Linked DNA regions of Arabidopsis thaliana. The protein of the gene in region 1 interacts with the protein of each later gene in a biochemical or structural test. Each region holds a gene or a part of one and is shown on either strand. Other genes may lie near its edges.

The links.
Region 2: of the proteins of CCB1 (region 1) and SOS2, one has a biochemical effect on the other in vitro, tested with the Arabidopsis thaliana proteins (one study listed by BioGRID).

What each region holds. Positions count from the first base shown.
Region 1 is NC_003074.8:9,807,520-9,822,391, reverse strand, and holds CCB1 (cofactor assembly of complex C), read right to left. Parts: upstream 9,170-14,872; 5' UTR 8,843-9,169; coding exon 8,507-8,842; intron 8,410-8,506; coding exon 8,288-8,409; intron 8,216-8,287; coding exon 8,063-8,215; intron 7,979-8,062; coding exon 7,786-7,978; 3' UTR 7,640-7,785; downstream 1-7,639. Other genes in the region: AT3G26720 (Glycosyl hydrolase family 38 protein), read right to left, coding at 290-337, 428-523, 605-715, 866-950, 1,033-1,145, 1,256-1,321, 1,421-1,540, 1,620-1,667 and 19 more; AT3G26700 (Protein kinase superfamily protein), read right to left, coding at 10,036-10,299, 10,374-10,506, 10,593-10,776, 10,857-10,931, 11,032-11,158, 11,247-11,455, 11,573-11,723. UniProt on the Arabidopsis thaliana protein: Required for the biogenesis and accumulation of native cytochrome b6 in the thylakoid membrane. Controls the conversion of apocytochrome b6 to holocytochrome b6. Required for covalent binding of the c-type heme to cytochrome b6.
Region 2 is NC_003076.8:13,632,520-13,649,758, reverse strand, and holds SOS2 (Protein kinase superfamily protein), read right to left. Parts: upstream 15,361-17,239; 5' UTR 15,142-15,360; intron 14,844-15,141; 5' UTR 14,827-14,843; coding exon 14,662-14,826; intron 14,576-14,661; coding exon 14,513-14,575; intron 14,415-14,512; coding exon 14,343-14,414; intron 14,258-14,342; coding exon 14,150-14,257; intron 14,053-14,149; coding exon 13,978-14,052; intron 13,910-13,977; coding exon 13,730-13,909; intron 13,606-13,729; coding exon 13,516-13,605; intron 13,413-13,515; coding exon 13,290-13,412; intron 12,779-13,289; coding exon 12,659-12,778; intron 12,431-12,658; coding exon 12,314-12,430; coding exon of another isoform or gene 12,299-12,313; exon of another isoform or gene 12,096-12,298; coding exon 12,039-12,095; intron 11,952-12,038; coding exon 11,877-11,951; intron 11,793-11,876; coding exon 11,697-11,792; 3' UTR 11,384-11,696; downstream 1-11,383. UniProt on the Arabidopsis thaliana protein: Involved in the regulatory pathway for the control of intracellular Na(+) and K(+) homeostasis and salt tolerance.

The DNA.
Region 1 (14,872 bases):
CCGCATAGTCAGCTTTTTACGAGTATAAACATGAAAACAGTTTGATTTTTAGGTGAAAAATACACCCTAAACGTTACGGTTTGGTTTTATGAACTAACTCTATACAACTAATTGTCTGGTTTCCTGACACTGCAAGATTTGGGTTTTCTGAGTAATACAAGTTTTTCTATATCTCTAATTATTTGCTAGTTTAATCGGCCTAGTGTTAAACTACATTTCCACAACCAAAAAGCACATAGCTATAACACATTATTAACGGTGGAAACGCATAGAGAGGACAAGTAAGAACCTCGAATAAGTGAGCAAGCCTTAGAAGAACTTCCCCATTTTCCAACTCCTGAAAATGTCAGAATTAATCATAGTGTGAGTGTGGTCAAACTAATAAAAAACCGTCTTTGACATGTATACAGTACACAATCCAACTAACCTGGAGGGTGAGTAATGCGACGTTTTTTGGTAATGAATATGACGGTTCAAACGCTGAGAATGTCGTCTTATGTGAATTAATCCAACTATCTCCTTCCTACAAAAAAAGTACCTTATCTCACTTCACTATCTTATAGAACTGGAGGGAAGTAAGTATTTTTTTTTTTTTAAGAGCAACCTGTTCTGTGAATGCTATAAGTAGTGGAGAATAAATTTCTTGACCAAATGTTCGACGCCATTTTGCCCCATCTCCAGGTTTATCTATCTGTACATAAAACTTCCCTTGTATCTGCAAAACAATTCAGAGTTACCATAACGGTTATAAGACCAACTATAACGATTTAATACCACCTTGGAAACAAGCTCTGTCACATGTTCCCTTAAAAGCTGATACGTTGCAACTTGGACAGCTAAAAATGAGATGAGAACTTAAGCTTACCGTTAATCCTTTGCATCCTTCAGGGAGACAGACTGTTTCATTAAGAATCTCACCAACACCTCTAATGTCATCATGCTGCATTCTCCTACATGAATGAAAAAAAGGTGAAATACAAGCAAAACAACATATGCTTGTCTTGGTTATATAGAGAAAGTTAGTTGACAAACCGATGAAGCATCAACTCGATCTGGCCGTTCTCTAAGCTGGATCCACCTACAGCTCGATCCACCAACACGGATAGCTCTGAGGTTTTATCTTGCATGTATATCCCGAGATTTAGCTGGAAGAAAATATATATATTAGACAAAAGGCCAGATATAGTGCAGCTCAGTCTAGTACAAGACCTTAGTACACCACGAGAAGGAATCTCAGATGGGTTTGATGCCTTACAGGATAATAGTTCCCAGCAACCGGTTGGTACACTTGCAAGTCCCAATCTGTTCTGAAGTCCCGAATCTGCAAGAAAATGTAACAAAGTATGTTACAATAAAAACAAAATACCCCTTGTTACAAAAATAAAAATAAACTACTTCACATGAATTTTGCATCTAATACCCGCTTGATGAAGTCACGGCCATTCGAGTCTGTGTAAAATGTTCCATTTGTCTTCATGGTGGTTGTAAGTTTAGTGATAATCTCTTTGCTAATACCATCATCAGCTGGTATAGGCCCAATCTAGAAAGTAGGAAATTAAAATACTGAAATTTCTCTTCATCAGTTTAACATGAAGAATTGTGAAAAGAGATCAACTCACTGTGAACTCAATTTCAGCATGGTTTTTTCCCTTGTACACTCTGGTAATCTGCAAATTAACAGACCCATCACAAGATGGATCAAACAGTTATAGCTTCTGTGATGTAATTAAACTGTTTAAGAGCATTAACTAGTTGCAAAGAGTTTATAACCTGTGATATCCAGGAGTTAAGCTCCTGGTGCACTTCATCGAACAAAGGTCCTTGAACAATAGTCAATTGAGCCTGAGTCAGGCTAGACAATTAGTTTTTCTTTTGTGTTTTCACATACTGTCGGGAAATAAGGTTATAGATGCAGCTTATATGTATTACCTCTTCTTTAGATTTAATTGGAAGCACACCATCTGGTCGAAAAACGTAAGCTCCAGAAGCCTTATAAAAGTATATGAGAATGGTTCAGACACACATCAAAATGATAGCTAAGTAGATAAGGTTGTATCTGTTAAAGAGCTGAGCTACCTGAGGATCCTTGTCAGTTCCATTGCTTCCAATATAATAAGCATATGACTGTTCTGCAGTAACCTTAAAATCCACCAAAAATCAACATCAGATGATGTTTACATATCCGAATGGAAAAATAGGTAAGTTAAGATATAAAAAACACAGGCACACCTGATTTTTGGTACTTAAGTGACGAGTTATTTTAACTCCTTCTTCTGAATAGCGTAACTTTAGATTTCCCTGGCCAACTTCTACATTTTGATTCATGCTTCCAGAAGTAACATATGATGCAGATAGTCCACGCGCTTAATCAAATTAGAAAACGAAGATGTAATTAAATACATAACATCCGTTGGTATCAGTAAGGAAGTTGCGGCTAGTAGAGCTAAAACATATGCAATTGTATTCAAGATCCTATAACTCATAATAATGTTATGACACAATATTACATATTCTGAAACATACCTGTTCGTCCAGTGTCTGAGATTACATACGAGCTGAACCCAAGAGGTGGTACTGAAGCTGTAAATGCAAGCACGTGTTTTGCAGTATCCCGTGGTGATCTTCCCAGATACGCTTTGACATACTCATTTCTAATTCTCAAAGCGATTTCTGAAAGAGGTAGAAGCTGAAACACGACTTCTTTCCCAGATGCATCTTTCACAATAACATTTTCAGACGACACCTAAAGAAGTTATCAGGTAGATTTGGTAAATAATATTGGATAACAAACAAAGATAAAGTGAGAACTACACTGGTCAACCAAGTAGATAAGAAAATACTTACAGGAACTCGGACAACTTCTTCTCGTTTCCATCCTAGAGAATTGTAAACAACAACCACCTACAAGGAGAGATCAATGTGAACAGAAGATAAAAACTAACCAAGAGGTCCAAGGCTTCATAGACTCAAAGGAAGCCTGTCTGCTAGACTTACCAGGCTTTTCCCGCTCAACAGACGAGCTTCAGATGCAGGACAGTAACTAATATTAAGCAGGGGACACTGCCAATATGAATATAATGCACAAGATAAGAATCAGCTTAACATAGATTATGATAAGTTTTGGGAACTTGAGTCATTCAAGTCATGAAAATGCTACAAAGCAGCTTACTAAAACTTCTTTGTTGCCTTAAGCAACAGCATCATTTGCGGAAGCGATATTAATAACCACTCAAATTCGATATCAATGTCTTTTCAACTCTTCCAACACGACCAGTAATATTGGAATCCTGCAAAATCTTAAAGCACATTACCTGCTGAAATTTTGTGCCAGGATTCTTCTTTTCAGTACTTGATTTTGCTGCTGATAGAAAGGAAAGGGAAGAGGCAACCAATTTCTCGGCCTAGTAATGATCATGGAGAAATTCTTAAACTGCTATGCCAACAAGAAACACAAAAATTGCATGAACAACACATGAGATGCCTAACTAAAAATCACCTGCAGGTAGCCCATTGAGAGTCTAAGAGCATAATCTGCAGCCACATGTTGTCTTTGTGTACCACTAACTGCATCATGGTGTTGAGCAATTGCCAAAGCATCGGCTAGCATATCAGTTGTTGGTCCTGAACTATCCCTTCCTCTCAAGAATTCCAATTGTCGAGCTGCCTGTTTGAAAACAGATAAGGCCGTGTAAGAAAAGAGCAAAATATAAACCACAAATCTATGAAATTTATATAAAATAATTGTAGGCCATACCAGATAGTAACCACTTAAATCCCTCACGTATTTCTTAAAGGCTGGCCTGCTCGTAAAGTACCCTGTCCAGTATGCATTAGGTTTGTCCGCATACCTGACACAGGTACATGTATTATTTATTTGATCAACATGCATTTTGCATTTGTAGAAAGTAAAACCCGAGCTATCAAACTCACGGGAAGAAATCATCAGTCTTTAGGGGCCAGGACTCGTTTGCAGCATATTTTGCATCGGTGTAGATAGATGGTGTCGAATACAGAACATTGAGACGCCCATCCTGGATTGTCCAAAGAACAAGAGAATCAAGATTGGTATTTCTCTTACCTTGAGACTAGTGAAATTCAATTGATATGAGTATGCTAGTATGAAAATCCAGTGTACCTTGTTAACATAATGAATAAACTTGTCTATCTGTCTGAACCACGAATATGCATACTGGTAACGGAAGTCAGTTCCCATTAACCACATTATATGATTTGTCCTGGTCACATTAACCTTGAAAAGAGAAATCCAAGTCACATCACAGCAAAGCTTCTTTTCTATTAGCTAATTTCAAGAAAAAATGGATATGATCTTTACCTGTGCGAGGGCTGCTGCTACAAAGTCGTTGACTCTTTCTTGAACATTGTAGTCAAAAAGGAGAGGATCATCCTATATTCAAGATGATTCATCAGTGCACGTTCAAACAAAGTTCAAAAACAGCACAGCCGGTTCAATTGCTTTTACCTGGATAGGAGCTGATACATCATTTATTTCAAACGTGAACCCTTCAGGAGGGTCATAATGTCTTGGGAATACACCAGTAAATATCTACAAGTAACATCAAATAGCAATGAGACAAAGCCAGCTATGGAAACAGCAGAATTATAATGTGAGGTTTAACGGTTTAAACCTGTGAAGAAGAGCCAAGAGACTTGGAACCTTGCCAAATAACCTCAAGTGTCTTCTCTCTTAACCTCTTTGCACGATCTTGGTAGTCAATTCTAGCGAAAAACAGCGAATCAAAGCCAAACTGTAGAAGAAACCAAAGGGTTGTCCGATCAAAATAACTTAGAGCTGATATAAGCTAATCATTCACATACTGAACTCATCTAAACTCACTATGAAACGAAAGGAACAAAAACGATGAACAAATTATACCTCAGCACCAAGCAGGTAAGCTTGTACTGCAGAATGTCCAAAGGGATCAATCTGCCAACCAACTCTAGGAACCTGACCAAACTCAGTTTTAATAAACTGATGGCCTAATGTAGTCTGATCAATCATGTCAATATAATGTGGAGTTGCCTCATCATGCATACACATTCCACCATTTCTACAAAAACCACATATCAACACAAACAGATACACACAAGTCATCAAAACAAAAAAGGTAAGAGATCAATCAAACTCACATGAACTCAAGTTGACCAGAGTCAACAAGCTTCTTGACTTTAACTTTCTTAGCATTGCTTTGTTGCCTCCACCATCTTTGAAAGAAAGCCTAAGAACAATACTAATTTCATCAAGCAAGACAAAAGAAAACTCCGGATTTGGTAATATCTGAATCTTACCATTTCAACATAAATAAACTTTCTATTTTCATCATCAAGCAATGAAGCGATTACAGAATCCAATACATTCTGAACACAAGCTCCCTGATTCAAATCAAATTGAGAACAAAAATCAAATCCCTAAAGAATCCATGGAAAGAGACAGAGAGAGAGATGTGTGAAGAGGGAGAGTACCCTAATGGAGTTATTGGAGCCTACGTAGTACTGATCAACGGTCTTAAGCCAACCTACATCGTCGTGTGAGTGAGGAACTAAGTGAACATTGATTTTCTCAGGGACGATTCTCGGTTTTGTGTTGTACTCTATGTACTCGGAGGTGACGCCGCCGATTACAATCGCCGCCAGAATCAGATAAAGAGAGAAACATTTGACCGCCATAGACGCGAGAGCTTTACGGGAGAAGAAGATGAAGATGATACAGAGAGGTTCGTGAAGAACAATGTGTAGAAGAGAGACAAGTGTTTTTGTAGAGGACGAAGAAGAGAGAGAGGCGCGTGAAGAATCACTATCATCACTCTTCTTCTGATTATTTATTTAAATTAAATATTTGTCTTAACTTTATTTGTATTAATGATTTAATTTGGATTAGACTTTATCTTATCCACTTCCTAACTAAAGAAGAGACGATATAGATAATTAAATTCTTAATTTAAAATTAAACACTGTAGAGTTGCTTGTTGGAGAAGTGATAAAATGGTCCATTTAGATTATTGCAAGCCGAATCGAATGATTGCTAATGATTTTTTTTTTTTTTTATATAAACACAGTATCATTTAAGTATCTTTGTATTAATTATTCAAGGTGATATACGTATATTAATAAAAAAATAAAAAAATGTCTCTACAAATTAACAATTCATTTATATCATAAAATAATAAATATTCATTTAGAGATAACTTATCACTATAAATCAAAATATTTTGATTCCAACACTATTAATTTAACAGAGATTTTACTAGATTTTATTTACGGTTTTTTATTAGACTGACAACCATTTCGATACGTCAAAAATTTGTGGTCGTAACAAGAGAGAGTCAAAGTTTAGTATTGATCACGTGAGTGAAGAGAAGAAAGAAGAAAAATTAAGAAACAATTGTATATAAATACTGAGATTAGACTTGTAATTAGTTTTATGCATTGTTTGATGAATGTTTAGTAACGTATGTGTCGCTTGTGAGAGAGAGTTATGAATCGGTGATGTGCCGGTGGCTCAATCTTTTGTGAAACGGTGTATCGGAAGTTAAGAAATAGAGATTACGTTTCTTATTCTTAACAAATGGTGCGGTGAGCGTAGATCAAACACGCGACCTTCAGATTTTTTGTTAATCGAGTAAGGTTGAGCTCAACCCAAATAGAGGTAAAGCCCATTATTAACTTAAACATATATGTCCGTCTAATTACAACACTATGTGGTAATTTGTTCTCTTCACCTCGACCTAATCATTTTTTAATTTGTAAGATTCTTTTGATTAACTTAGATAAATTTATGTTAGGTTAACCATGATGTCTACAAAGTTTGTGCATCATCTGATCAAGATCATACGAGTTACTAACTTTGAAAACCAAGATTTATATAATAAAATACTCAAATAATGTAACTATTTTTATGTTTTCAATATATAATTAACATTTCAAATAAAGATGAAAATAAATTCTATAATTTAATATTAACAAAAAGTTATATGTTGTCAATATATAATTTAATATTAAAAAATATATAATTTAATATTAAAAAAAAAACAAGTTCCACTTTCTTTTTCTAGTTTCTTTTTGCCAACTCTACATCTTGGTGTTTTACCTTTCATAGAATGTATTATGTTTGATCAAGTCTTATTCTCATGATTCTTTTTTCTTTTTTTCAATCGTGTTTTAACCTCTTATTAGCCTCCATAACAAACTTATACTTATCTCCACGTATTCGTCTCTACTATTGTTGTAATCATTATACCTCACTCCGGTCAAGATATAGCTTTGATCCTTTGAACATCATGTGTTCAAGAAAATGTGTCAAACCTCGAGCATCTGAAGGATCTCGAAAAGTTCCAAAACACATTTTAGATGTACACTTAATGCTGTCATTATTTCAAGTCTCGATCACCAAGATTTTTGAGTTGTTCTCAATGGCATCGAAGTATCCATATCTCCCATTTCATATGTACATATAATTCGAACTCATCATTGATGGCATATAGTACTGAACAACCTTGGCTTTGGGAATCATGGACTAGCCGATCACTCAGGAAGACCATACTTACTAATTCTTAGTAAATTTGTGGCTTTATTGTTGTCTTTGGTAATGAAAAAATGGATTTGGACTTTCAAAATAACAAAATTGCTCAATCAAATGAACTATATTCAAATCGATTCGTTTAGTATGAAGTATGGGAAATGAGTTAAAAAGTCATTAATCTCAACCTTAATAAAACAAGTATAGACACATTCCCCAAAAGGCAAAAATGGGAGGCTAAAATGTTATCATTATGATGATCTCTCAAAGAGACCTTTGACATAAACCATGCCTTTCTCATTAAGCTGAAGCTCTTTCCTCATTTCTTCGACCTGAACATCATCTCCTTGAACCACAATCTCATCCAATCTCCCTTTTGATCCCACCATCATCTTCACTTTTATCTCCTCTTTCCTCGACGCCTTTTTCCAGTAATACACTCCTCTGCAACACACACACACATACAAAATAATCACCATTTCATTGACAAAAAAACAGTCTCAGAGACCTTAAAGAGAGAGAGCTTACGCGAGTGGACTAAGGAGAATGATGAAGAACCAATTGTTTCCAAAATCAGGAACTGTAATGGTTAAGACAAGACCAACACTTGCTAAGCTTATACATGTACAAAACGTAAGCAGAGCAGCTTGTCCTCTACTTGGAACCATCTTTCCTTCAAATCTTTTTATCAAAACAATGTCAGTAACAAAACACAGAAACCCAAATGAAAAGTTCGAGCTTTTTGTAGCTTACGTGATTGTTTCTCCACGATCAGTGATATTGAAATTCTTCCTTGTGAAGAAAGATAGAATCTCTCCAGCTACTTGCTTTGGCTCCTTCTTGACGTCATTAACAACAAACGTCTTTCTCACTATCTACAAATCCTCAACATTGCATTCAAGCTTTTTCAAAATCGAAGAAATTGGGAATTGGAAGTGAAATTTAGGGTTTTGTAATTAGTAAAGTTCGAACCTTTGATTTAACAGAGCGTTTGATTAGAGACCAAAGACCAGGAACAGAGATAACAAACAAACCCAAAGACGTATAATAGCTAGCCAACGAATAACCACCAGTAGCCTCCGTCATTAACAGTAACGAATTAGGGTTTTGTTCCCACCATTGATGAATCTGAATTGCTGAAGAAGAAACAACAGAAAGTGGCTCCACAATCATGGCCGTGACAGCAGAGACTCTGTTTCTCTTCGTGACCATCCATTCTCTTCTCCGCCGTGGAAGCCCTTTGATTATCACCTCTCTTGAAGTAACCCACGGACAAGACAACGGCGGAGAAATCAGCTTCGTCGCCATTGTCAATAGAACTAAAAAGGCTTTCTCTTTGGCTAACAAAAAAAAAGCTTAAACCTTTACATGATGGGTCTATCCAAAAATCGAATGGCTCACATTTTTTCTCATTTTAAAAATATACTTTTAACGGTTTTTAGTATTTATGACAAAACATTAGCTCTGTTTCTTTCTTCTATGTATGAACTAAGAATCAACAATCTCTGGTTTTGTAATTTCTTTTCTAAGCTTTTCAATCACTACTGTGTTTTTGCTTCTGTGAGGTCAAAATCTGGAAGGTAATAATAAATGTGAGACCCACCAATTTAACGAGTTAACTATCTACAGAAGAAGAGTCTTTATCATTAGATCTTCAATCTCTCCCGACATAAAATCAGACCAAACATGATTTTGATTTTGCAATCTGTTCCAAAGACTGTTTGTTTATAGTTCTGTGTGCCCACAAAGGTTTTTTAGCAAAACTAGGGACAGAGTAATAAATCAGAGCATTGAGTTTATTTTCACTAGTAGCAAATGGAGTATGTAGGAACTATACTAGTCCAAGACCAAGAGTGTTGTTATCCAATTGGAATCTTTGATCAAGACTTTAGAGACCAACTTGGTTACTATATCTCCCCTTTGGCAATAAAGGCTATCAAAGCATAGGTAGGTTGAAGCTAAAGGTCAAAATCTTTCCCAAAATTGGCTACTTTATAGGAAAAAGTAGCTCTGAGTTTTTCTGTACAAACATAATAATTAGAGTTCTTCAGACAGGGAGTTATCACCTTCTGTTAGTTCAACAGTTAGCCAATTGGAATCTTTTCATCAAAACTTATTCAACCAACCAACTTGGCAATAAAGTCTTTCAAGCTAAGTTCAAAGCTTTTGTAGAGAGTAAAATGTAACAAAGAATCACACAACATTCCACTCTTTGCTTCCTTTATATCAATAAATAATGTTTTTACAAAGTTATACTTTTCTGCACTCATTGTCAAAAAAATAATTGCTGAAAATAATAACCTCCAAAGGAAGTGAAAAAGGAGGGAAAAAACAAACAAACAATAAGCTTCAGCTGTTCTTTATACACTTAACACAAAACAGCTGATCAGTCTTCTTCTTCTTCCTCCTTAAGTTCTCTGATTGGTTCTTGTCTCAGAGAACTTATATAATATATATATATATATGTATATATATGTAAAAAGATGGTTCCTTTATAATAATCACTTGGTTGCTTTAAAAAGCTGACTTCCAAGAGTAACAGTTGGAGTACCTTCACCCATTACTGTTGTTAAGCTCACTTCTTTATCCAATATTCTTTCAAGCTCTGTCACAACAAAACTCATTGTTGGTCTCTTCTCACTTGATACATCAACACATCTTAGTGTCAATGTAATAAGTTCCTCAACTCCTTCTGCTGTGTATGTACCTCCTAGTCTCTCATCAATCATCATTGGTATATCTGCGTAATCCGTTAAGTTTTGCATCTGCAACTCCCAATGCATACAAAATGAGAATCAAAATAGATTACATTGGCACGGTTTTGAGTGTGATTACATACCCAATCGACTAGAGTTTGCGTTGAGCTTGAAGGGGATGGTTCTGATGCTTCTCTTCCACTTACTAATTCCAAGAGGAATACACCAAAAGCATAGACATCACTTTTCTCTGAAAATCTTTTGAACTCTTGAACCCTGAAAAAAAAAGGGGACAATCTGAGAAACTTTGATACTAAAAAGAAGCATATGAGAGCTTAGAAGGTGAAATCTTTTTAATTTACTCTGGGGAGAGGAAAATCTGGTCTGCAACAATGTGAGACGATGTACCAACATCCTCTCTTCCTAAGAAGTTACGGACTCCTGCATCCGCAACCTTAGCAATGAAATTTTCATCCACAAGAACATTAGCGGTTTTGAAGTCCTTGTGTATCAACCGAGGACTCAACGAGTGAAGATGTGCCAAGCCTAGAGATAACAAAAGGGTATATGCAAGATCAGGACACAAGCTAGAGCTGGCTTCAATGAGGATTTTGTAGAGGATTTACCTTTAGCTGCTCCTATAGATATTGCAAGCCTATGTCTGAACTCTAGTCTATTACCAGGTACTTTACCACCAGCACCTAACAGAGGAAAAGACCTAAACGATGCTTACATCGTCCAAACTCATTTCTCAAACTGATTAAATACCAAATGAAAATAACATTAAGGACAGAGAGTTACCGTACAGGTGACTGGAAACACTTCCATTAGGAACATACTCGTAGACAAGAAACTGTGTGTTGCTTTCTTGGCAAAACCCCAAAAGAGTGACGAGATTACGGTGATGGATAGACGATAGATAACGAACCTGAAGAAATAAACCATATCCTCTCAATCAATACACTTGGTCTAAGAAGACTAAAAGCAAACACTTGAACAAGATTAATTATAGAAACCTCGTTAACAAATTCTTGAGTAGGCAAACCAGGTCTTTTCTTGATAGCTACAAGAACACCATCTTGAAGCAAACCTTTGTAAACCTCGCCGAATTTGCCAATACCAATAAGACTTTTATTGGTAAAACTCTTGGTGGCTTGAGCAAGTTCCTCCATTTCAAATCTTCTAGCTTCTCTCATTGACAACTCAATTGCAACATTTCTTCCTTCTGAACTCACACAAACATATAACAAAAGAAAAAAAAGTCTAAATCATTTTGATATCATCCAAGAAAGTCAATAGAGAGAGAGAGAGAGGAATAGAATTGATGGGATTTGTGATTTACCTTGAGTAGATGGATCAGAAGAGCCAGTCTCAGAAGTTCTAGACAGATTCTTACGACGAAAGACACAAAACCAAAGGAGAAAAACAAACAAAGCAATCAATGCAAGAGCTCCTACAGCACCACCAATGGCAGCTGCAAGAATTGCTGACATTTGGAAAACAAAACTGCCTTCTCTCTCTCTTTCTCTTTTCCTCACCGATGCTCCAAGCTTCTACTACCATGCGATAACCCTGGAGAGAAAGAATAAAACAAGAATGTCGGCGAAAAGAAAAAAAAAAAAACAGAAGAGACAGTTTTAAAAGCAAACAGAGGAGCTTGAGAGGTAAAAAAAGAAAAGGTGTCAACTTTGTAAAAATCAATCAATCAACATGCAGTAAGTATTTTTTAAAAGAACCTTGACAGATCTCCAGAAAATCTCAACTTCATCGGCGATTAAATATCACACAAATTCAACAAAATCGATGACGTGATTCCCCACATTCTTTTTTTTCTCCACATTCAATGAAAAAAATTCCTTATATCGGCAGATTCAAGGAATCAAATTATTTTTCTAATCAGAAACAAGAAAGCTTGGTGTGAAAACGGAACAGAGAGCAATGGAAACATCAAATCAAACCGCCGCAGTTTCTTCTAGAACAACTTGAAGGTAAAAGGGTAAGAAGAAGAACAAGAAGAAGAAATCAAGTCTTGTGTCGGAACGCAGACAATGCCGACAGAAAGTGACATCGTTTCAGACAACAACTCTCTCTCTCTCTCTCTTTCTTAAGACTCACCGAAAATTTTTTACTTACTTAACTAAGAATCAACAACGGCAACAACAACAACAAGAATCAAACTTTTTACTTTGGTTAGTTTTTACTCTTGTGCAACTACCAAACCCATTTGTTTAATTTGGTGAAAAAAAAGGAAGGAATAAAAAAAGAGAACCTTTGAAGACAAGAGTAGAAGCAAGTGGGGTACTTGGCCAGTTTGCAATTACAGCGAATGGGAACTTTTTTTTTTTTTTTAAGAGAGAAGATTCAGAAGGAAGAAACTTAAGACCGCCGCCGTGAAACGTAGTTTCCGCCGCCGCAAGTTTTGAAAGGAGACGAACAAGACCACCACTCTGTCTCTGCCTTCTTCTCTTTTCTTTTTATTTTACTCCGCAATTCTCTCTGTTTATTTTTTCTTTTTTCTTTTTTCGTATGTGTCCTTAAAATGGTTTATTTTTATTACTTTAATAAATGTGTACTTCAATATTAGACTACCAAAAACAAAACAAATAAGATTGTCAATAAAAATTTATTTTTCTCATAAATTAATAAGCAACCAATGATAGATGGGATTCATAACTACAGAAATTTATAATTCTTTAGACTTCATATTTTTGTTTAGTCAATCAATCACATAATTATATTGGAATCACAGCTTTTTCTGCACTATCCTATTATTCTTATGTTTATTACAAAAATATAAAAGGATTATGTCATGTCATAGATTTACATTTAGTTTAAAACCTTTATTTCTAATATTTGAAATATTGGCATAATATTCAGTTTAGGAAGAAGAAGAGCTTAAACTTGTTATAACTCTTATCAGTTGATTTGTTAATTCTAAGCTTAATCTAAACATTAAGAGTCAATTTATTAATGGGAAAAATGTCAATTAATCCCCCAACTTTCAAACAATGATTATTTTATACATCAACTTCGTATGCGGCCGTTTAAAACATGAACTAAACGTTGACTAACTTTTAAAACATGATTATTCGTTGACCAGGCCAAAATAGACATGCCGTTATCAGTCATTAACGGAACTTCTAACATCCGTTATCATCCGTTAACGACTTTATTAGTCAAGTTTTAAATTGTGGCCATTTTAAACACCGACTTTATATGTGACTATTTTAAATATGAACTAAGCGTTGACTACCATTTAAAACATGAGAAATTCGTTGACCAAGCCAAAATAAACATGTTGTCATCATTCATTAAAAGAACTTATAAAATTCATTATCACTTGTTAACGACTTTATTAGTATCCCTAAAACGACTTTGTTTTGAGAATAATCAAAAGATTCTAAATGAAACCCCAGTTCCCCAAATCTATTTCTACAACCGCTCAAACAAGACGAATAATCTTATAATGAGTCTTCAATTTGCTTCCATGATTCCCTTTAAAATTTAAAACAAATATATAAACGAAAACACCTTTATTTGCTTCCAATTACTGGCACTGCGATTATCTCTTTATCAAACTATGTTCTTGGGTTCTGCTTAAAACTTTTGATATGGAGATTTTATATGGAAAAAATCTTTGTGTTCTTTCGATTATTCTCAAACGACGTTGTTTTGGACAGATTAACAGTCATTATTTCTAGGTTCTACTGATAAAGACATATCTATTTTGGCCTGGTTAACGAATTTTTCATGTCTTAAATGGTAGTCAACGTTTAGTTCATGTTTTAAATGGCCAAATAAGAAGTTGATGTTTAAAATGACCACAATTTGAAACTTGACTAATAAAGTTAACGGATGATAACAGACGTTAAAAGTTCCGTTAATGACTGATAACGGCATGTCTATTCTGGCCTGGTCAACGAAAGATCATGTTTTAAAAATTAGTCAACGTTTAGTTCATGTTTTAAACGGGCACATACGAAGTTGATGTATAAAATAACCATTTTTTTAAAGTTGGGGAATTAAATGACATTTTTCCCATTTATTAATCATATATTTGTAATTTAGTAAAATCTAAGTTTAGTAAAAGAATTTTTATTTTATAATTCACCATTTTAATACAAAATTATAATTAACAATGTTATAAATCAAAATAGAATATTTAATTATGTTTCATACTAGTGTTTCTGATTCTTATAGGTAGATGTCACATGACTTACATCTTAGACTGCTACTAAATTTTTTATTTTTGACATGTTATACTGCTACTAACTAAAACATAAATACACCAACAATAATAGCAAAAAGAACTGTAGTTTTAACTAGTACTATTAGAAAGCAAATTAAAAAATTAACCCTTTTGTTGTTATTAATGACAAATAGATATATCCAGCGAACAAACATTCATAAAATATTCTTTTATAAATAAAAAATTCAACAAACTCACTTTTTTACAAAATAAAATAATTAATTTAGGACCACAATTCCTCACATCGACAGAGTAAAAAAAAAATGGTGGGGTCATAAGCCAGCTGTATCGACATACATTTCCTTCTTCTCTCTGACGCTAACTTTTCAAAAACTCACATTTCCACGATCTGCGTTTCGCGTTTTTCTATGTTTTGTTTCAATCTGCGTTTTA
Region 2 (17,239 bases), on another chromosome or scaffold:
ATTGGTCTTCTCGGGAAAAAGATTGAGAGTCGAGGGGGTGAGCTTGAGCAAACTAGGAGGTAGATTCACGAGTGAAAATGGACAGCATATGGTTAGGGTCAAAACGCATCGTGATGGAGTGGAAGGAGATCAGATTTCGCAACCGGATCCAGATGGTATTGGGTCGAATGGCAGAGTACTCATGCTCGAGAATCTAGAGGAGAAGGTGGTGGTGGTGGGTTCTAATCTTGTTTTGGAATTTATCAATGAATTGTCTATTCTGGAATTGCCGGGGGGGGGGGGGGGGGGGGCAATAAACCCACTTTCCGCAGGTCGATTTGTTATATTCTGAAGAAGTTTAGCACAAACATTCTCGCTATTTTTGAAACTCACGCAGGTGGTGATAGGGCGAGAAGAATTTATCATGGCTTAGGCTTTGAGAATTCTTATCAAGTAGACGCAGTGGATCAGAGTGGTGGACTGTGGTTAATGTGGAGATCGGGACTAGGCGAGGTGGAGATAGTTGAATCGGCTAAGCAATTTATTCATGTTAAGGTGGTGAATGAGGGCGATGTGCTCAACCTAATTGCAGTATACGCGGCTCCTTTGGCGAGTCGACGAAGTGGTCTATGGGGTCAACCTCGAGAGGTTATCCAAAGAATTGATGGACAAGTGTTGTATTGGAGGAGATTTTAACACCATCGTTAGGTTGGATGAGCGAACATGTGGTAATGGTCAATTGTCGTTAGATTCTCTAGAGTTTAGGAGCTGGATTAACGAGTTGGCCTTGTCGATATGGGATTCAAACGAAACAAATACACATGGAGAAGAGGTCGAGCAGAACAGACTTACATTGCTCAGAGGTTGGATAGAGTTCTATGCTCAGCCCATTTGCGATTAAGATGGCAGGAAGCAGTAGTTAATCATCTCCCTTTCTCCCCGTCAGATCACGCACCTCTTTATGTGCAATTATGTCCAGTGACAAGAGGAAATCCAAGTTGACATCCTTTCAGATTTGAGGCGACCTGGCTAACACATACCAGTTTTAAAGATTTGTTGGTGTCGTCTTAGCAGGGTGAGTTGAGAACCCAGAGGCCCTAGGAATCTTACGGGTAAAGCTGAAGCAGTGGAATCGTGATGTTTTTGGAGATGTGCAAAAGAGAAAAGATATGTTACAGTAGGAAATCAAGGTTGTCCAAGACCTGTTAGAAGTGAATTAGACAGATACTCTGTTGGAAAAACAAAACTTGCTAATGAGGGAATTTGATTTGGTCCTTGAGTAGGAAGAAGTGCTCTGGTTCCAGAAATCGAGAGAGAAGTGGGTTGAGCTGGGTGATCGGAACACGAAGTATTTTCATACTTCTACCATTATTAGGAGATGCAGGAATCGAATAGAAGCGTTAAAAGATAATGAGGATAGATGGGTTGTGAATGCACATGACCTTGACAAGCTTGCAGTAGACTATTACAAACGCTTTTACTTTATGGCAGACATAGATGAGGTGGTGGATAAGTTGCCTAATGAAGGATTTGTGAGACTATCAAGGGATGATTTAAGGGAGTTGAACAAACAATTCTCAGCTGCATAAGTGGAAGGAGCTGTCCGCGGTATGAGAAGATAACACAGTTTAGGCCGATAAGCCTTCGGTGGTCAAGTTTGTGTTGGACTTCTTTGAGACTTCGGTTTTAGTAGACGAGATGAATTATGCCTTAGTAGTGTTGATACCCAAAGTGGGAAAGCCGGAGAAGATAACACAGTTTAGGCCGATAAGCCTATGTAATGTGTTGTTTAAGGTGATCACTAAGGCCATGGTGATGAGATTAAAGAAAGTGATGCTAAAACTGATTGGTCCAGCGCAGTCTAGCTTTATACCACGCAGATTAAGCACTTATAATATAGTGGTTGTTCAAGAAGCTGTTCATTCGATGAGACAAAGAAAGGGCTCACGGGCTGGATGCTCTTGAAGCTTGATTTGGAGAAAGCTTAGAATGAGATAGGATTTTCTGGAGGATACTCTAGAGGCATCATGTCTTCCGGTGAAATGGATTACTTGGATAATGCAATGTGTAAAGGGTCCTTCAATGAGCGTTTTGTGGAACGGTGAAAAGACGGAGCCTTTTAAGCCTTCAAGAGGACTCCGCCAAGGTGATCCTTTGTCTTCATACTTATTATGTGTATGGAACGGTTATGTCAGCTTATTGATGTCTCTATTGCTAAGAAAGAATGGAAACCAATAAGCCTATCGAGGGGGGACCAAAAATATTGCACATGTGCTTTGTAGATGATCTTATCCTATTTGTTGAGGCCTCTATGGCACAAATAAGGATAATCCAGAGAATCTTGCAGCGATTTTGTGTGGTATCAAGTCAGAAAGTAAGTCTGGAAAAATCGAAATTTTTTTTTTCAGATAATGTGCATCGAGACTTGGTTAAGTTGATGAGTGATGAAAGTGGTATTCAAGCGACGAGAGAGTTGGGAAAGTATCTAGGAATGCCCATTCTCCATAAGCGGATTAATAAAGACACCTATGGAGATGTGTTAGAGAAGATCTCATTAAGGTTAGTGGGATGGAAAGGGAGATTTTTGAGTATGGCAGGCAGAGTCACTCTCACCAGATCGGTGCTAGCATCTATTCCAGTCCATTCGATGAGTACGATTGCATTACCGGGGGCTATAACTAAAAGTTTGGATAGAGTGTCAAGAGATTTTGTGTGGAGAAGTCATACAGGACAAAGGAAGCAACATCTACTAGCTTGGAAAAGAGTTTGCAGACCAAAGATGGAAGGAGGATTAGGTATTCGGTCAGAAAAATCTATGAATAAAGCATTATTGTCAAAAGTTGGATGGCGACTTTTACAGGATAAGGACAGCCTTTGGGCAAAGGTTTTGAGAAGCAAATATAAGGTTGGAGATCCACATGATAAGTCGTGGACAGTGGTAAAAAGCAATTGGTCTTCCACATGGCGTAGTGTAGGGGCTGGTTTACGTGAAGTAATCCTACCAGGTTTAGGATGGGTGATTGGCGATGGTTCTAATATTCGTTTTTGGACAGATAAGTGGTTGGGAGCTTATTGAGAACAGAGTCAGAGATATGTAGCTACGAAAACATGCAGTATGATTGTTTTATTGCTAATGGAAAAATATTATTACTTGTTTTTGTTTTGTTCTTTCTTTTCGTCAAGGCTAAATGCCTAATGGTCAATCATGCAATTAAGTATGTACAATTTTTTTTTTTTTTAAGTTTATCTTGTATATATAAAATATAGTAGGTAGAAATTATTTTTTCATTCCATCAAGTTAATTTGTAAGAATTTACCCCCACCAAAAAAACAAAAGGTAAGTGTGAATAACTTGCTCACATTAGTGCGGATGATGTGTTTAATACATGTAATAACCAACAACTTTTGACGTATTATCCATCTGAAAAAGATGAAAGAGACCTCATCATCTCTATACGAGAGAACGTGTTACCCTAATGGGTATAAATAATACGCCAACCTATGCAAGAAAATCATATCATCACACTTAAATCTTTCAAAACACCTTTAAATCTTTCAAAACACCTTTAGTTCTTACAAAACACCTTTAGTTCTTGCAACACAAATATTATTGCAAGATGATGAACAATTTGTAGAATGTTGCTCATCATGCTCACGCAAACGAAGGTAAATGTCAATAAGATTTAGACAGATCAAGTTATATAATTCTCTAATCTTCCCTCTTCTTCCTTTGTCTAACAACAATTATTATTATTTTCAAGATTTCGTCCAACTTCTTCAAACTTCTAGAAACAATTGGCTTGATACAATGGACCTATCAAAAGTATTGCCATATATTCCAGAATCTATAAGATTGATGTTGTCTACTGTTGTGGTAGATGTTGTGACAGGTGCTCGAGATCGCTTATCTTGGAGTGATAGTCCAGATGGTCGCTTCACCGTGAGGTCAGCACACTCAATCCTTACGAGAGATGAAGTACCACGTCAACAATCATGGAGGATGTTTGAGCGAGTCTAGAGAGTTGTGGTACAAGAACGTGTGAGGATTTTTCTCTGGTTAGTGGTTAACCAAGATATTATGACCAATGTGGAAAGAAAGAGAAGAAATATTTGTGACACAAATTTATGTCAAGTATGTAAGAGTGGCGAAGAGACTATTTTACATGTCTTGAGAGATTGTCAGGCGATGGCAAGCATTTGGAGTCGCTTGCTTCCCCCTAGGCGGTTATATGTGTTCTTTACACAATCATTGCTTGAATGGGTATACAGTAATTTGGGAGAACAAGAACTTGTCGGAGGTTATCCGTGGGCTACTTTATTCGCTTTGGCAGCATGGTGGGGTTGGAAACGGCGCTGCAGAAATGTGTTTGGGGAGAATAGGAAATGTCGAGATAGAGTTCGTTTCCTAAAGGATTCAGCGAAAGAGGTGGTGGAGGCTCACTCGCTGCTTGGGAGTAATCGAGGTAATGTAACTAGGGTGGAGAGACAAATAGCATGAGTTCCGCCAGGAGATGGTTGGCTGAAGTTAAACACGGATGGCGCATCACGTGGAAATCCGGGTTTAGCAATAGCTGGTGGTGTTTTACGGGATAATGAGGGTATTTGGTGTGGTGGTTTTGCGGGAATCTCGGAGTTTGTTCGGCTCCTTTAGTTAAGTTATGAGGTGTGTATTACGGGCTTTTCATAGCTTGGGAGAAAAAGGCTACGCGGGTGTAGCTGGAAGTGGATTCAGATATGGTGGTGGGTTTTCTTAAAACATGGATTAGCGATTCGCATTCTCTGTCTTTCCTAGTACGTTTATGTTATGGCTTCATTTCGAAGGACTAGATTGTCCGAATTACTCATGTGTATAGGGAAGCTAATCGTCTCGCAGATGAATTAGCAAACCATGCTTTTTTGTTACCTTTGGGGTTTCATAGTTTTCCCCTTAGGCCTGATTTTGCTACTTCGATTATTTTTGAGGATGCTAGTAGTGCTACGCGCCCACGGAATGTTCGTGTGTAATTTTTTTATTTTGTTTTTTAATAATATGGGAGACTAGTCTCCCTCATTCTAAAAAAAATAAAAAATTATAATTATATAAAATAGATATAAAATTATTAATTACATAATAATACACACAAAAAATGAATATCAAGAAAAATCTCTCTCTCTCTAAATCAAAATCAAATGAGAGAAGAGAGGCGATACGACGAACGATTGCATCTCTTCGATTCCTACGGCTGTCTCTCGCTCGCCGAGAGTTTTCTTCGCCAGTTTCCGGCGGTTACTTCAGGGATGAATAACGGTAGAACGGTTGTGGACCCCATAACTGCTTCTCAACCAAACCTATTTATACCCTGCGCATGTCTCTGTTCTCGTTGGGTTGATCAGAGTGAAAGTACACAAATTCCTTTGTTCATATTGACAATGGCAGATAATCTCCAACGACAACTGCAAGATATTGCGTTAGGAATACAAGAGGAAGCAATCAATCTCCCGATTAAAATTTGTGATGAGGCTCTTCAGGAAACTCAATTTAGTTTCATTGCAAAACCGGTGAACCCAAGGAAACAAAATCTTCGGGCAATGCTGAGTGCTTTGCCTCGCCTCTGGGGCGTAGGTGAAGAGGTGGTAGGCAGAATTCTGGAGAATCAAAAAATTCAATTCCTTTTCCAATCTGAAGAATCCATGTCCTCAATTCTCCGGCGAGGGCCTTGGTCTTTCAACGATTGGATGTGTGTCATTCAACGATGGACTGCTTTGCATACGGTTGTTGAATTCAAAAGAATCCCTTTCTGGATTCAGATCAGAGGAATCCCACTTCGATTCCTCACCTTGAAAATGATCATTTCAATTGGTGAGCGTATGGGATTGTTCCTTGAGACAGACTTTGGTAGAGATGGCGTGGTCCTCACAGACTACGTACGGGTCATAATCCTCTGGAACATCGAGGACCCGTTACGCTTTCAGAGGATTTTCCAGTTTAGAGAAGAGACATGTGTCTTGAAGTTTTGATATGAGAAACTCAGGAATTTCTGTACCACATGTGGAATGTTGAATCATGATGCTGCTAAATGTCCAACCTCTGGAAATCAGGATCCTCCTCAGCCTGGTGATGATGATGACGATGTTGATAATGATGCTGATGATGACCATCCCGATGTACCAGATGTCCATCCCAATCTGCCACACGATCCAATGAATCAGCAATTTCCCGATGAGAACACTGAAGAAGAGCACCATAATGCTTCCAAAAAGAGGAAAACCAACGCTTCTACTTCTCAGACCGACTATAGCTTTCCTTTGGTGTGTTGTGATATGCGCCAAGCCTATGCAACAGAGGATACCCAACACTGCGTTGCCAAAAGACAGAGGAGAGAATCAGAAGTGCTAGAAGTCTGGAACTGGTTCATGGCACCACATAAAATATCGGGTACAGTACGCAACAACAATGGGAGAACCACTTCAACCACCCCACACACTTACCGAGAGGGCACGGTGGGCCAGAAGCCACCGGAGCCGCCATGAATACAGCGTTTTGGAACTACCGGGGCTTAAAAGGGTCCCTGGTAGTTCGACGCCTCAAAGGGATTAAGAAATCTTATTCCCCGGACTTACTCTCTTTGATTGAGACAAAGAATCCGGATGACGTTGTTCGGGATGTGGCAGCTCAGTTGGATTATGATAATGTGAAGTGTGTGTCGCCTTTGGGCATAGGCGGTGGTTTAGCTTTGATGTGGAAGAAGTCTGTATCAGTTAATTTCTTTTCGTTTGATGCAAGACTCATTGATTGTAAGATAAGTAATAAAGAAGCTTCTTTTTGTTTCTCTTGTGCCTATGGCCATTCGATCAGAAAGTTAAGACATATTCTATGGGAAAGAATTGAGAGAATCACAATACATAGACAAGGGCCTTGGTTAATGTGTGGGGACTTCAATGAAATACTCGATGCCAGTGAAAAAAGGGGTGGTCGTGTTCGTCAAAATTGGAGTTTTGTGGATTTTCGAAATATGGTTAACACATGCAAAGTATCAGATCTTCCATTCACAGGAAACAATATGACTTGGGTTGGCAAAAGGAAAACTCATTATTTGGAATGCTGGCTTGATAGAGCAATGGCCAATGATCAATGGAAAACAAGTGTCCCTGCTTCTGAGGTTGAGTACTTGGAGTTAATTGATTCAGACCATCGACCTGCTATCATTAAGATCCGCAAAACAACAGAACAAGGTACACGCTGCTTTCGTTTTGACTCCAGATTGTGTAACAGACCTGAGTTTGAGTCGATTGTCGAATATGGTTGGAACCATATACCCGCTTCTAGATGCTCTGTTGTAGAACGAATCCGAAACTGCAGATCTCATATATCAAGTTGGAAGAGAACAAACAACACAAATTCTGCTAAACGGATGGCGGAGCTGACTGTGACCATTGATAACGCAAGCACTGACTTCTCTGTTTCAAATGATCATCTCCGTAATCTCAGAAGGGAACTACTACTTTCCTATCGTGAAGAAGAAATGTATTGGAAACTGAAAAGCCGAATACAATGGCTTAATGAAGGAGACATTAACACCCGTTTTTTCCATGCTTCTACAAAGAACCGCATAGCTCGAAATCGTCTACTCTCAATCCAAGATTCAGATGGTAGCGACATCTATGGTAATGGAAACATCGCGGCTAAAGCTGAGAAATATTTTGGGGAACTGTTTAGTAGTTCTAATCATCGAGACTTGACAGCAATTCTGCAACATATCCAACTGGTGGTGTCACCTGCTACAAACGAGCTTCTGTTGACGGATATTACTACAAAGGAAATACGTTCTGCCTTGTTTGCAATTGGGGCAACCAGAGCTCCGGGACCATACGGGTTCACAGTATCTTTTTATCGTCAATATTGGGATATTGTTGGCCCTGAGATAACGAAAGAAGTGAAAAAAATCTTTGAAACGGGACAGATGGAAACTCCATGGAATCATACAAACCTCTGTTTAATACCAAAGATCGAACACCCAAAGACAATGAAGGACTTTCGACCAATCAGTTTATGCAATGTTCTCTACAAGATAATCTCCAAAATATTGGTACAGAGGTTAAAAGCAGTTCTCTCGTCGGTTGTCTCTGAAAATCAAGCTGCTTTCATACCTGGACGTCATATAACTGACAATGTGTTCATCGCCCATGAGGTTTTCCATTCACTACGAGTTAAGAAACGATGTGCAAACGAGTATATGGCGGTCAAAACAGATATTAGTAAGGCGTACGATCGGATCGAATGGAGTTTCTTGGAAGAAGTTCTAAAAAAAAAGGGATTTGCAACTCGCTGGATCCAATGGATCATGGATTGTGTCCGTTCTGTTTCCTTCTCGGTATTGATCAATGGAAGTCCATACGGGAAGTTTTCACCTTCCCGAGGTCTGCGACAAGGAGATCCTCTATCACCATACCTCTTCATACTATGCTCCGATGTCTTAAGTTCCATGATGACTAACGCACAACAGACGGGGAAAATAATAGGAATCCAAGTTAGTAATGGTGGTCCCTCCATATCCCATTTACTCTTCGCTGATGATTCTCTATTTTTCCTAAAAGCGGATCGCAAAAATAGCCTCAATCTTCTTAACATTTTTAAAGAGTATGGGGAAGCGTCAGGTCAGATTATAAACTTTGATAAATCATCAATAACATTTGGGAGTCGTGTCTACCAAAAAACAAGGGATCATGCAATGCAGACTCTACAAATACCAAATATTGGGGGCGGGGGAAAATATTTGGGACTTCCCAAGCAATTTGGTCGAAAGAAAAAAGAAATGCTCCAATACATTTCCGAATCTGTCCGTAAGAAAATAAATGGTTGGCAAAATAAGTTTCTCACTGCTGCAGGGAAAGAGACCCTCATTAAATCAGTAGCTTTTGCGATGCCGGTCTACTCGATGAATGTATTTGCGCTCCCAATGGAACTTTGCTCCGACCTCAATAGTATGATAACGAGATTTTGGTGGGGCACTACGGCAACAAAAAAGAAACTGTCATGGGTTTCCTGGAAAAAAATGACAAGACCAAAGAGAGAAGGGGGTTTAGGATTCCGAGACCTGTACCAATTCAACCAAGCACTACTTGCAAGCCAGGTATGGAAACTGCTACAAAGACCACAAAGTCTGCTCTATAGAATGCTTAAAGCCAGATACTTTCGACATGGGAATTTCCTTAGTGCGTCACGAGGCACGAGACCGTCTTATGGATGGAGTTCCCTTCGGTTTGGATGTGAATTGTTGAATCTCGGGACACAGAAGAACATTGGAGATGGTTACACAACCCAAGTGGGCAATGAGCCGTGACTACCAACCACTCTACCCCGGCCACCTCTGTTATTAGCAACGACGGACCCGAAAACAACGGTTTTGGCTTTACTCTGTCCGACTACATCTCAATGAGATGAACAGAAACTCACCGCACTAATCGATCCGATTGACCATCCAATTATCCGGAAAATATATGTACCCCTTATACCAGCACATGACTCATATGTGTGGAGCTTTACAAAGGATTGCTGCTACACTGTCAAATCAGGATATTGGGTAGCAGCAACAAAGAGCACAAGTGAGCCACCTATCACTCTGCCGCTATCTTCACACCCTGATATTGCCGACCGTTTATGGAAACTAAACATTGTCCCCAAATTGAAGCATTTCTTGTGGAGGACAGCTTCGCTTGCTCTCGGGGTTGCCGATAACCTAAGGCGACGGAACATCATCATCAATCCATACCGTGCACACTGTTGCACGGAAGCTGAAACAGGGAATCACATCTTTTTTTCCTGTCCGCATGCGGAAGCGGTATGGAGGACCACTTGCCTAGACACCACCATACCATGTAACTCGCAAACACCCCTGGAAGACAAATTAAGGTACCTCTTTAGGATTCACGACGATAGGAATGTCGATGAATTACACAGGTACCTCCCTTTTTGGATTATGTGGAGATTATGGAAATGCCGTAATGATCTAATATTCAACAAAAAGCTTATTCCGGCACGGGAGACGCTCGAACTGGCAACAACGGACACTCAGGAGTGGATTGAGAATGTCATTAAACAAGTGAACACAATTCCGGCTCCTCACACACAGAGAACAAGAAGAGATAACTGGCTACCACCACCTAGGGGATGGGTGAAATGTAATTATGATGCGTCGCATCATGAAGGAGCTGGAGCCTCAGGACTTGGTTGGATAATTCGTGATTCCAATGGCTTTGTGTTGGACTGTGGTATGGGACAATTTGAAGGACGAAATACGATAGAAGAAGCTGAATGTACATCACTTATCTGGGCAATACAGGCTGCGTGGGGATTAGGATACCGAAACGTAATATTCGAAGGGGATAATAAAACCATCAACCAAGTTATTAATACGTACGGTGCTCATCTTCGACTCAAACACTACATGGGGACAATACAACATTGGAGAAGTGGTTTCATAAACTCGAAATTCTGTTTCACCCATCGTGAACAAAATGCCTGTGCCGATCTATTAGCGAAAAAAGCTATTTTAGGTCCAAATCTCTGGTCTTTTGTATCATTCTTGTCCTGTATTTTTGATGTCTCTTGTAAACAATGATTATGACACTCGTCACTAATAAAGGTTTTAGAAGGAAAAAAAAAAATGAATATCAAAATCAACAAAAAACCATAACCAAAATTTTTTCCAACAATTTTAAAAACAAAAACCCATGCATGTATGTTCATCTAGTTTTTAAAAAAATAATACAAGTGTATATACTGTACTTTGTATATATTATCAAAATGCATGCAAAGATATGAAGATAAAATAGTATAATATTAGATATTTAGAAAGAAATCAATGTACCCCCTTATGCTTTAAGGGACTCATATTTATAATTTACATTAATTTGTTAATTAATGTACTAAGCGCTCTTAAAAGTGTTCGCTTTGATTCTCTAATCAATGTTGTAACGTCTTCATTTGAATTCCTTTGAACCCTTCATGGGCCTCCGAATGCTCGGCCCGTTACCCATTCTCAAACTCATCTCCTTTTCGCTCCGTTGTACAAACTCTTCGGTTCGCTCGGCTTCAACTATGGGCTTCGGTCGAGAGCATGTCCCGTTGACCGTTGTCTTGTTGACTTTTAGGTGGCAAGCTTCGGATGGATCCGAACACATAGTTCGAGATTCGACACCAACAAAAATAACGATATTAATTTGAGTATTAGATTGAGACTTGTGTTATGTATGAATTGATGTTTGTGTTATGAAATGATATTACATGTATCATGATCATATGAGTTAGCGACTTTAAAAATCAAGGTTTATATAGTAAAATATAACCAAAAAGAACCATAATTTAGTTTAATTAATTTGGGTAGAATTTCTCTAATCCCAAAAAAAAACCCGACAAAACCCTATCGAAAGAATCCAAACCAAATGCTCTGCCTAGCTTAAACTCGTATAGTCTTGACTAAATAAAGGCATAAAGCTCATGTAGTCTAGTAAGCAAACTCATATTGGATGTGTTTTGTTAGTACATGTCTTCGCAGGACAAGTTTTGAGAAGTATTGCCATACACAGAGAACAGAGGGATCCAAACCAATGGCCAAAGCAAACTACAAGACACAATCAAATTAGAATACTAGCTCAAGAAGCAAATCTTCCAATCTCCCTGAAGAATAATTAGGTCATTTATTACACAAGTGTACATTTTTATTGGATTTAAGTTGGGATCAAAACGTGATTGTTCTGAGAATCTCTGACTTTGGTATTCCTTCTGTTGCCCTCCATATTATGTTTTCCAGTTTCGAACATAGCTTCTTGTAGAACTGCGATACCACAAAACAAAATATCACTCTAATCCGCAACACAGTAATGATGCAACTATTGTTATTGGATATATATTTATAAACCTTGTGATATTCAAGAGTTTCACCAGCAGCCTTTCTTACGTCTACCATGAAAAGCGATGGTGCCACCTCGTAAATCTGCATGTAGGTTAATTTCAATTTGCTAGATACCCTTAAACTGAAGCAAAGCAAACTTATATTACAATCACAACAAGCAATAATTACCTCTATCACAACAGCTAACTGTCCGGCCTTGATCGAAGATAATCCCTCGAGCCTTGTCTGTTGAGCACATAGACGTAACAAATCATAACAATTGTACTCTCTGCTAACATTAAAAATGATAATTCACACTAGGACTTTCGTTTTTGAACGCCAGAGATATAAACTAAGTTTCCTTGTCAATCTTATCAATCTATCTACACATGCGTTTAACAGTTGAGAGTTTTAAAATAATGCATAATCTCTGTGATAAGTGTAATATGCTAGGAATTCGTTACCTTGAAGTTTCGTGTATGAGACTTAAAACCCATTGAGTTCGCTACAGCCTCAATGTTAGCAATTATCTCACTAGGTTCCCTTCGAGAAACAAAACGGGTTTGCCTTTTAACAAAATCCTGCGAGATCAAAGGATCAGCCATCAATATGCAGGAACATTTTGGATTCCATTTGTATCTACTAATGCCATGCAACCAATCATCTAATGAACTTATAGTTATTATAACAAACTAAGAACACAGCATCATAAGGCAGTCAAAACGGGCAGTCTGAAGAATAGATGCTACCGACATTCTTTTATTCGAAATGGAGATCTCTATGACCAGTAATAGAAAATCAGGTACTACCTGTCGCCTGTCAAATAGTGCAGATAAATTTAAGCCTTGTGATAAGGTAATCATCTCAAAGGCATTCATCATCAGGGGCCCTTCATCATTTCTCTCTACATTCTCCGCTACATAACTGCCCTGTGAACAAGTGCAATTGACAGGTCAACTTAATGAAAAACAAGTAAAAGTAACTTTAGCTAAGACAGATACTGAGGTTTTAGTTTAACAATTGAAGTACAAGTTTTAGAAGAGCAAGAGCCTGAGTTTAAGTAAAACATTCTAAATATGCATTAGAAATTACGGTATCTATATATATCTAGGCTATACCAAAGCTAAGACAATCTTAGCAGGAGATATATATTGATAGGTACATGAACATTGTAATTAGCCCTAGGGGTATTCTGGATTTTGTCTAGGGTTTTTGGTCGAGAATAGAGAATTCTCTTGTAAATCTAAGTCTTCCTAAGGTCTATGGTTTGGCGAATTGAATAAAGAAGCAGTTTACAGGTTTGGTAACTAACACATGCCTACTATTTTGTTCTATCCTGTAGCAAACACTTCTTCTTGGTCATCCAAACGTTCCTAAGAGATCTTAACATTTAAATGGAATTGACCAGCAAAGAGCATATAATGAAGGCGAAGCACAAACCTCAATTCCATCAAAAACTGCACGAATATCATCCAAATTCACTTCTTCTTCTTCCCTTGCTCGTATAGGCACATAATTTAATCTGAACCAAGGATCTTTCTTGATTCCTTGAATTTGAATACGCTGCTCTAATTGAGAAACAATAATAGATAAACAGATATAATTACTAGAACATTAAATATCACCAAAACCTGATAGCTAGGAGAGAACAAAGCAAAATACTCACTGTTTTGGGATTGGGGTCAAGTATCCTATGTATTAAAAACTTCACTTCTGCGGAAAACCACGGTGGACAAGAAAACTCTGCTGCATTTATCTGTAAATAACAATGTGTAAAAGCTCAAAACTAAGGGTGAAATTGCAAAACCAAATCAATAAACGGTTTGACAAAAGCCATGACAAGGAATTCATGATTTCTTCCCGAAAGATATGTTACTTACTTTTCTGTACAACCCTGGAAGATCCGTCTCGGAAAAAGGTAAATATCCAGCCAATATAACGAAAAGAATAACCCCGCAAGACCAAATATCAGCTGCTGAACCATCGTAACCCTGTCCACTAAGTACCTCTGGAGCTACATAGTTCGGAGTTCCACATGTGGTACGCAGAAGTTCTACTCCCTGATTGAGTATATAACAAGTTAATGACCACGTAAGCAGACTGCTGAAGCAGAGATAAGAGCACTTACTTCCTGAGGCAATGCACTGAGTCCGAAATCCGAAACCTTCAGATTTCCATTTGTATCGAGTAAAAGATTTTCTGGCTAGATAACATAACATAGCGACACAAAAATATCAAGTCTGGATTGCAACGCAGTGAGATATTCTGAGGAATATTGGTAAACAAAAACACGTCTTTACCTTTAGGTCACGGTGGTAAACACCCTTGCAGTGACAATGAGCAACAGCATCTACAAGCTGTTGAAAGTATTTCCGAGACTCACTTTCTTCAAGCCTCCCTTTATGAACCTGCATGAAAGATTTCATATATTAAAAAATTAAGTAGAGAGGTTTTAACTAATGGACGCTGCCTACAAGTATGGAAGTTCCGTACAATTCTATCAAAGAGCTCTCCTCCTGTCACAAACTCCAAAACTATATATATTTTCGAAGGACTCGCCAACACCTACATCGGGAAAATCACAAAAAAACAACAGAAGAACAATGATGCAAAAACACTTCAGAGATAAAATTTCGCAGATGCATGGAAACAAACAAACATACCTCATACAACCTCACTATGTTCGGGTGACGAACAATCTTCATTATAGATATCTCTCTTTTTATCTGTAAAAGAGCTTTAAACGAAATCAAAGATCATACCATTGACGCAACAACCTTAGTTTCCATGTAAAAAACAATCCAGAACATACCTGATCAACCATTCTGTTCTTAAGTATTGTACTCTTAGCCATAATTTTGATGGCTACATTATCACCAGTGTCTGTGTTCCTCGCAAACTTAACCTTAGCAAAGGTTCCTTCACCTATTGTGCGACCAACCTCGTACTTGCCCACTCTTCTCATTTTCTTTGTCATTCTTTACAAACTTTTATCTGATCCATTGACCACAAGCTATCAATCAGATTATTCAGAGACTTAGTAAAAACCTCTTTCCTTAAACGTTTATGATTTCGATTTCAATTACTTTACGTATTGTTTGCTAATTTTAGCTCCTACACATCCATATATACAAAATTACTCTGTATCCATAATTTTGATTTCGCAGCATAAATCAACATAAATTCGATCAAGGAAACGACGAAAAGGTAAGGATCAAGATCATAATCAATATATAAAATTCGTACGGCTGGAATTGCGATTGGGCGTAGTCGAAAGAGAATCGTGAAATACCAGAATTGGATTCGCAGAGAAGGGTTGATGAAAGAGGCGTAGGAGAGAAGGAAGGCTCGTGATGCGATTCGCGAAAGCCGTGAATCGTCGATGCGAACGTCCGTGCAGATCCGTTGAGCATTTCGGGTCGGGTTATTTGACTGTACCCGTATACGACCTGAATTAGTCGTTCGGGTCAATTATCCGTTTGGGTGATTAAACTTTTAAAAACTAACATTGCATTTTGAATCTTTCAATTTAATAATTGTGAGGTTTTCAAAATTTAAAAAAGAAAAAAAAAACTAATCTAATATCACTTATCAATTTAGTAAATTATTTTTAAAAAATAAACATATAGTATTTTCAAAATTTATTTTAATTTTTTTCAAATTATCTAGACTATGATTAATCGAACTCAAATTAGTAAAATTTTCTATTTTTAACTACAAATTTTTAACTTCATTTAAGTCAAGCAAGGTTCAAAAAAACCAAGAGAACAAGGATGTCTAAGTTTAAGACAAAGCATACAAAGATACTTTCCAATGCTACAAAGTGATATATAAAAAAGTTCGATAAGGATTCGTGAGAGTTTGGAAACAAACACTAGGGAAAAATTTGGCGTAAGTGATAACACGGTTTATCGACGGTTCATTCACAAAGCAATGGTCAAAAAGATGGTCACGGTCAATATACTAGGTGATGTTGAAGAGGCTTTTATGGCCTAGATTTTCGCCGGCACGAGAAGAGCTTCATCAACAAGGAAGAGGACTATGGTTCTATAGTCGGTTGGGATTTGCTTTAAAGGTTCAAGATCTTTTTTAAAAAGTTTGAAAACTTCTTGATAGTCCTATAGTCGGTTGGGATTCACATTAAATGTTCAAAAATCATACATACAAAGTAACGATGACAATGTCAATGAAAAATTGGCAATGAAGATGATAAGAAGGAATACAAGAGCAAGAAAATAATGAATGTGAAGAGAAATATGAAATGTAGGTGTTGGTGGCTAATTGAATATAAGAAAAAATATTGATAAGAATGAAAAAGTATTACAGTAATATTTTTGCATTATTAAAAATAAAAATAACTATACATTAGTACTTTTGCATTATGTTTTTTTATATAAATAACGTAAATGAAACTTACAAAACAATTCCGTTAAAAAGTTATCAATAGTAATTTTTGATTATTAACTTATGATCATATGTAGGGGTGTCAAAATGGGTCAAAATTCATGGGTCAACTCAACTCAACTCAACCCATGAACCCTAATGAGTTGAAATTTTTGACTCAAATGAGTTGATGAGTCAAATGAGTTGATGAGTCAATTGGTTTGATGAGTAAAATGAGTTAGGTTGTAATGGTTAATGGTTTCCATGGTTTATCCAATTAACCCATCAAATTTTGTAAAATTGAATAAAACCAACTAAAATCTCTAAACCAATGCCAATTTAGGTTTAACCAACACATCTAAACCAATTTAATAAAATTAATATTTTTCCAAATTTCTTAAATATACAAGCAATGAAATTGAGAAAAAGTAAACTCGTAATTTTTCCACCAAAAAACATAAATCCGTGATTTTCCCGCAAAAAAAAGTAAACCCGTGATTTTCTCGCAAAAAACGTAAACCCGAGATTTTCCCGCCAAAAACGTAAACACGAGATTTTCCCGCCAAAAACGTAAACCCGAGATTTTCCCGCCAAAAACGTAAACCCGAGATTTTCCCGCCAAAAACGTAAATCCATAATTTTCTCGCCAAAAACGTAAACCCGTAATTTTCCCACCAAAAACGTAAACCCGAGATTTTCCCGCCAAAAACGTAAATCCATAATTTCCCCGCCAAAAACGTAAACCCGTAATTTTCCCGCCAAAAATGTAAATCCCGTGATTTTCCCGCCAAAAACGTAAACTCGTAATTTTCTCGCCAAAAAACGAAAACCCGTGATTTTCCCGCCAAAAACGTAAACCCGTGATTTTCCCGCCAAAAACGTAAATCCGTGATTTTCTCGCCAAAAACGTAAATCCGTGATTTTCCCGCCAAAAACGTATACCCGAGATTTTCCTGCCAAAAACTTAAACCCGTAATTTTCCCGCCAGAAACGTAAATCCGTAATTT